Linked DNA regions of Danio rerio. The protein of the gene in region 1 purifies or fractionates together with the protein of each later gene. This does not show direct contact. Links are inferred from orthologs where the notes say so. Each region holds a gene or a part of one and is shown in the gene's direction. Other genes may lie near its edges.

The links. Proteins that work in one complex are often made in the same cells at the same time.
Region 2: the proteins of sik2b (region 1) and ppp2r2ab purify together in Homo sapiens (affinity purification with mass spectrometry; 3 studies listed by BioGRID and IntAct, with this or other methods). This does not show direct contact. The link is inferred for Danio rerio from reciprocal best matches to the Homo sapiens genes SIK2 and PPP2R2A.

The regions. Positions count from the first base shown.
Region 1 is NC_133190.1:24,253,624-24,257,123, reverse strand, and holds part of sik2b (serine/threonine-protein kinase SIK2), read left to right. Parts: coding exon 1-28; intron 29-121; coding exon 122-406; intron 407-2,226; coding exon 2,227-2,387; intron 2,388-3,500. UniProt on the Homo sapiens protein: Serine/threonine-protein kinase that plays a role in many biological processes such as fatty acid oxidation, autophagy, immune response or glucose metabolism.
Region 2 is NC_133185.1:23,747,211-23,751,510, forward strand, and holds the start of ppp2r2ab (serine/threonine-protein phosphatase 2A 55 kDa regulatory subunit B alpha isoform), read left to right. Parts: upstream 1-1,500; 5' UTR 1,501-1,786; intron 1,787-2,971; 5' UTR 2,972-3,090; coding exon 3,091-3,097; intron 3,098-4,300. UniProt on the Homo sapiens protein: Substrate-recognition subunit of protein phosphatase 2A (PP2A) that plays a key role in cell cycle by controlling mitosis entry and exit. Involved in chromosome clustering during late mitosis by mediating dephosphorylation of MKI67.

The DNA.
Region 1 (3,500 bases):
AACCAGCCAGGGATCATTACAAGTGGAGGTCAGTGTGGCTTATTAGTAAACTAATGCTGCAAATGTTAATTCAACAATTCAATAATGCTTTATAAAGTATGTCATCCTGTTCTTTACCCAGGTAAACTGTTCAGCATGGGTCATAACCCCTCTCTGGGTAGCGTGGACTCAGAGTATGATATGGGCTCCATGCACAGTGACCTCAGTCTGCTTGAAGACGGGCCCTCTCTTAATGAGGTGGTCCTGGCCAACACACCAGTGACCCGCTTGACTCCACCGTTCATCAGTGCTCGGCCCGCGAACCCCACCATGCAGGCACTGAGCACCCAGAGGAGAGAAACGCACAACCGCTCTCCCATCAGCTTCAGAGAGGGCCGCAGGGCTTCAGACACATCACTCACACAAGGTGAAGGGCATATAATATATTTACTTAATAAATGGTATTACAAAAATTACATATTGTGCAGCCCTAAGTGAGATTGCTCACTGATGTTCAAAGGTTGGATGAAATCAAACTTTACAACATTTTGCTAGCGCGTTGTTAGTCTTGAAAAGTGAACAATTAGTCCCTACACCAGGGGTGCCCAAACTTTGTCGAATGAAGGATCAAAAACCAAATATTACTAATAGCTGTGGGTCAAATAAAAGTATACCAAACTGTTTTACATTTAAAAAAACACCATGGGTAATTTTCTAATTAATTTCATAACGTTAAAAAAATAAATAGAAAGCATTATTTTGAATCTTTGAACTTTTATAACTTATGGCAACACATTTATAACACAGTGGAGTTCAATGCTGAACACACTAGGATTCAGAGAGTCTTTGCCTTGATTCGCTCAACAAAGTCTCTGCATTGTCCTCTCTCCGTCAAGTGTACATTTTAAACTAAATCTTATTAAATTTACACTGTTTGCATTAAAACGTTCCATTTCAGATTGAAGCTTAACTATAAAACAAACAAGTATAAGGTTACAATAAATCTAAAATGATATTCTCTAAACCATTCTCAGATGGCATGAAGGCGCCAACTTTGGCCTGCAGGCCCTAGTTTGGGCATCTCTGCCCTACACTGAAAGTAAAGAGTTTGTAATCAAAATCTAACCATTTGCTTCTCCTCTGGAATGACATCAGTTTGATGGCCTGGGGCGAGATATGCTTAGCAACACCCTCAAATCATTCCTTTGCTGCAAGTGAAAAATGAGAGGAGAATTGCAAAAGTAAAACCCCACACCCTTAATATTTGAGTTGGAAATATGTCGTCATACTTAAAAGTCTGCAGTAACTTCCAATTCATATGGGATTTAATTTGCTGCGTTTCATTGAAAAATATATACATAATAAAATATTTAGCAGCTATCAGAATCAGAAGAAATGTTTCTTCAGCATCAAATCAGCATCTTGGAATGATTATGATTCCTGAAGAATCATGTGACATTTGTCAGCTGGTAATATTATTTCTATTTTAAAAATAGTTCAAAATTAGAAATAAAAAACATTACATGATAGATTAACATTAAATGTTAATGTTCTTAACAAGTGTAAAATTTTACATGTTTACTAATAATCACAGTCATTTTAACATTTGTACTGTTATATGTGCATTAGATATAAAAAAATATAAAAAGTAATACATTTTTCTGCTCTTCCTTCTCATTTTCTCACACTTATTATTTTTTTCACACCCTTTCCCTCCCTCCCTGTTTCTCTCTTGTTTTCCTCCTCTAAATGCGCCACCCCCTGTCAGATGATTCATTGTGTGAATCAGAGAACCCTTTGAAGATTAGGCCAAGTCAGTCCTATTGAGTTCTCTCATCCTGTGGCCTGAATAATTACCCTTAATCACTTGAAGCCCTAAAATAACCTAAGAATCAACCCATCTACCCTCTTCCGATAGGCAGCAGAGGAGTCAAGAGCCACTAAACGGCATTTTAATGTGTACTTGAGCGATGAATAAAGCATTTGCAGCCCTGCCTGGACATATCTTGTCCTGAAATAGACTGATTAGCCGTGTTAAGTGAGGTCACGTGGTAGTGGTGCACCGGAGCAGTCAGAGGTGGTGTGGGCTTCAGGGAACAAGAGTCACTTCCTCAGTTCTGACACTCCCATCTGAAAATACATGACCACACATGGATGTAGACACTAAGGGCAGAACGTCTGATGATCTGTAAATCATTCGGAAATAACACTGCTATTATTCATAATCTTATTCCTCTCTCTGTGTAGGCTTGGTGGCCTTTAGACAGCACCTACAGAATCTGGCACGTACCAAAGGTATCCTGGAGCTAAATAAGGTGTACGCGCAGATGGGCTCTGGAGAAACCCCATCCCTGGGGCTGCTGAGCCCTCAGGCCCATCCACATGGCTTACTGGACCCTGCACTACAGGTCAGTCCACCAGGAGAGATACTAGATTTACAGATTTGGCTTAACCTGTCACTTTTTTGTAGTATGCCGTACAATCAGGCAGCAGAAAAGGTGTATTTAAAACATCTATCTTTTTTTGTTGTTCTTTATGAACTTAAAGACAATGAAGTTAGTTTGCAAATGAGTTAATGCAGGCAAATTACTTTGTTTAGCCAAACATAAAATGAAAAGTAAATTACCAGTACATTTTAATGTTCATTCATTTACTTCGATACAATGGCCATCAGAGGCATTTACATTTACTGATCAAAATGCTGGAGTTTTGAACAGTGCTGACTTGTTCTCTTATGTAAATAGGAGATTAACTTTTTTTTACAGAACATTATATAAAAGCACTTTAATAACAGAATTTTGTGATGTTGCGATGTACATAGTCACCGACTGACAGTTTTTTTGTGATTATAACAGCAGCACTCTTTTCTAGGCAACTGTCCTTTTAGAATTTCAATACATTCACTAACTCACAAATCACTAACAGCAATAGTCAATATAAGATTATTTACCACTGTGTCATTTACATTCATGGCATCAAGGAATCATTTTATGGGGAAAATATTTAAATGTCATTTGATTAAAGATGATTTTTACATAGGGCTGGGCAATTTGGCTTAAAATCAACATCTCGATTAATTAAACATTTTAACTCGGTTAACTATTATTATTTATTTTTTATTTTTATTTATTTTATTTATTTTTTTTGCCCTCATAGATCACGGTGAAGTTTTCTACAGTAAATGTGCTCACATATTACAAGTGAGAGATTTTTGAATAAAGGATGCATTACTTGATTTTAAAATTATTGAAGGAAACACACACTACTATCAATAATGATCTACTATCAATGATTATTAATTGAACATCAACATTAAACAACTGAAATTAAAGCATACATTGCCTAAATAACTTGCATAAATATATCTTCTAAATCAACTCTTGCATATCCTGTAAATAATATTTTAAACAGTGCATTTCTTGCATCTTCTGTAAACAAGTATTTTACTGTAAAGGAAAAAATGCCATCTCAAGGCATCTCTGGCGCAGCTTACAATCATTGTCAGTGTAATCGTCAAAAGT
Region 2 (4,300 bases), on another chromosome or scaffold:
CGCCATCTTATCCAGCACGTTATTACGCAGCAGATGCCCTTCCAGTCGCAACCCATCTCTGGGAAACATCCACACATCCACACACACACATACACTACGGACAATTTAGCTTACCCAATTCACCTGCCACATGTATTTGGACTATGGGGGAAACCGGAGTATGGAGGAAACCCACACGAACGCAGGGAAAACATGCAAACTCCACACAGAAACACCAACTGAGCCGAGGTTCGACCCAGCGACCTTCTTGCTGTGAGATACATAATTATCAATAATACTAATAATTCTATCTTTAAAAACAAATGACTGAGGAAATGTGCAAAAAATGTTTTAGTGTTAACCGTTATTCAAAACAGATATTAAACAAGCTTGTTTTATGTTGTAGAATATTTGATGCTGTTGGAGTAAATTTTTTTCATATCCTCATCTTTTTTTTTTATTGACTTCAATAACAAACATACAAAATTCAATTTACACAGAAAAACACAATGACAATAACAGATCAGGATAAATAATATAAACTTTAAAAATTAAATAAAAAGATTTCATATCCTCATCTTTTTTTTATTGAATACAAGAATAATAACATCACTGCATTGAAGAAAAAATACAATAACAAAAAATAAGAAAGAAGACAGAGAGAAAAATTAAAAATACACAGCCTCAAACATTAACAAAAAAGATTGTCATAAGCTTTAAGAAACTTATTATTTTTCTTATTATTAATAAGCTTAAGAGATTCAATATATACGAAATTTCAACAAGGAAAGTATTAAAAACAGGTATTGTTTTTAGAAACTTATTTTTGTGTATAAAAAATTTACAGTGTAACACAAAAAAATTTACAATAAGATCGAGAGCATGACCATCATCCGAGAAATACAGAAATATATCTTTTATAGACAAATTTAAATCATGTTTAAAAATGGATGATAAATAAAAAGTAATGTCATTTTAAAGACGTTTAATGTGAGTGCAACTATAGAATAAGTGAAATAAAGTCTCTTCATGTGTATTGCAGAAAGTACACAAATTAGATATATCAAAATAATTCGCAATTTGGGAATTTGTAGGATAAACATTATGCAAGATCTTAAAATGTATCTCTCTTATTTTGTTGGATATGCTGAATTTTTCAGGTAATAACCATGCTCTCTTCCATTGAATGCAGTCAGAGAAGTTGGTCCAAAAAAAATTACATCTTGGGGTGGTATATACAGAGTAATGTAACAATCGTCTGACATGTCTGTTGTCACATTTTTTATCAAAAAAAGACACTCCATCCAAAAAAGTTTAGGCATAATTGTTTCCCTCTTCTTAAAGTAAAAAAAAAAAAAAGTTTTAAATAAATGCACATAACTTTGTGACAAACGCATTTCATATCCTCATCTGCCCACACAAGTTCAGTGGCGTTACATCATTACTCCAGCACCCACTGATGAATGGCCAGCGCCGATTACGTCATGACAGGGCGGGGTTGCGCCATTTTGAATGTTGAGAGGAGTGTAGGAGGAGAAAGCTGAGGAGGAAAGACAGAACATTTCAACATTTAATAGCGAACTGAAGGGCTACCGACAAAAAATAGCGTCTTTCCGACATTCCTCTTCATGCATTTGCAGAGGAGCTGCTTGCAATAAAATAAACCCTGCAAAGTTCTCTGGACAGTTCTGATAGCAAAAACTAGCAGCAGCAGCAGTAAGCCAAGGTAAGAGCCGGAAGTGACGCAACAGCGGACCCGAAAGCGTGATTCCCTTTCAAAATACAAGTACAAGAAAAGGATTTTAAAGTAAGTTTAATATAAACATTGTATAAAATGTATTCATTCATCAGTTTTCATTCAGCTTAGTCTCTTATTTATCAGAGGTTGCCACAGAGAAATGAACCGCCAATTATTCCACCATATGTTTACGCAATGGATGTTCTACCAGCCACAACCCAGTACTGGGAAAATTGTTTAAAACCTGAAATGATTTTTATTATAGTATTGATTTAAACTATTATGTAGTATTTTACAATTTTATTGTAGTAACCGAAAGATTAATGACATATGTTACTTTTTGTTATGTAATAAAGGATATATATATTTTTTTACATTGTTTTTTATATGTAATAAAGCATATTACAATTTTTGCATATCATTTAAATATTTTTATATTCACTTCAGTTTAAAGATATCAGTGTAATACATAACTTTGTAAATAGACAATACATTTTAGTTATTTATTATGTTTGATATTTGCATATTTGCATTTCCTCCCAAATCAAAAGGAACATTGAATGTTGGCACGTCATGTATTTTTAGCATCATATTAAATCATATGGGCATGATTCCAATGTACTCTAGTAAATAAAGCTGCATACCAAAGATGCCTGTCATATGAAGCTCTTGGCATTGTTTACCTTCACTATGAATATTTCAGTGTTATTGACCACTAATAAGTTGGTTTGATAAATTATGCACAAATGGTTAGTATTTATCAGTCCTGACAAAAGCAGAACCAATGTTAAACAAAGTGTATTAATAGAGATTTTCATAATAACTCATAAAACAGGGAAAACCTTACTGTCAGCTATATCTTTTTATTTGGGTTACCTGCATGAATAACTAGAAATATTGTAATATATGCTTTCGCCCAATGCTTGTTCGCCCCAAAATTGAGTATTTACTCTCCCTCGTGTTTTTCCAAACCTATTTTAGTTTCTTTCTATTGTTGAACACAAAAGAGAATATTTTATAGAGAGCTGACAACCGGTAACCATTGACTTCCATAGTAGTAAATGCAAATACTATGGAGGTCAATGGTTACAGGTTTCCAAAATCATTTGTGCATAGTGCTCAACAGATTATAGAAATGCAAAGGTTTGAAATAAATAAATGGTGAATTAACGATGACAGAATTAGCATTTTTGGGTGAACTATACCTTTAACAAATCTGTTTGCTTTTTATTTCTTGTTTCCCTTTTTATCCAGAAGTATCAGAAGCACTTTTATTTTGAAAAACAGCATTTCCGGCGACTCTCTTGGAAATTTTGCTCTGGTCGCCTTCACACTGCTTATCAAGACTAGGGTCCGACATCGCCACTCTCGCCATGGCAGGTAACTCGACAAGTTTATGAGCTGCTTGAGCAGAGATTGTTCCAATTCACCGTGAACTAGGGAATCGCTTCTGTTTGTTTCAATGAGCGCAGCGGCTGCACTGGAGCCACCATCGCGTTCCTGCTCTACTGACAGTAGCCTAGCCGCCTAGCAGCCTCGTTCCCTCCAGTTAGCCAGTAAATCGACAAAACTGATTTCCATCTTATGTTATTTATAGTGCAAAGATCATTTGAGGATGTTTTAAGCAATACTGTTGTTTTTTTCTGTGATAGAGGTGTGTTTCAGCGATGAGCTTCATTTGAGTGGAAACATGTCTGCTGCTAACCCTTTCATCATTTGTTAGCGGGATGCGCGGTCAGGCTGCGGGATTTTTTATATCTCGGTTGTGTAAATGAGTAGGCACTGAGTAACACGTCCGGTTTCTTTTCTGTTTGTGTGTATTATTTGGTGTGGTGTATAAATATATTGGAAATGCGGGCCTCTTTAAATCTCCTCCATTGAACTGGAGAACTTTAACCGGCATCTGCAGAGTCATGTGCAGTCAAACTGCCGCGCGCTTCGCAGAGAGACTGGAAGCCGCTAAAAGCGGCAGGATCCGCAGGGATGACAAAGACGAACGCCTTTTATTCATTAAACGCTGTTATTCAGACTTACCCGATAAGTAACGTAGAAATCTTACAGGTCAGAGTCGTGACTGTGAGGAGTGGGAGGGTTCAGTTTTATGGCAGTGATGGAATATAGGCGTCCTCCACAAAACATTTTATTACCGCTTATAGCAAGGGTGCCCAAACTTTTTCTCATGAAGGAAAACCAAATTGATTGAGGCTAACTGTTATTGGGCCGAAGGCAAATATAGGTGGGGTAATTTACCATGGGTAATTTTTTAAATTTATTTAATAATGTTTAAAATTTACTAGAAAACATTTATGTTAACTACAGTATTTTGTATATTTTATAATGAACCCATCATAGTAAAAATCGAATTTATAACAAAATTATACTAGTTTTTCCTTGATTTGGTTGCTGATGTCTTCTGCATAGTCTATCCGTCGAGTGACACTACTTGCATTTACAAAAAAAATTGATGCATTTACAATTAAATAAAACATTTAATTTATGTGAACATTTTTGTAGTTCAGCAATAAAACAAGCAAAGGAGGTTACGTCAAATTAGAAATGACGATCTTTGTATTAAAGGCATTC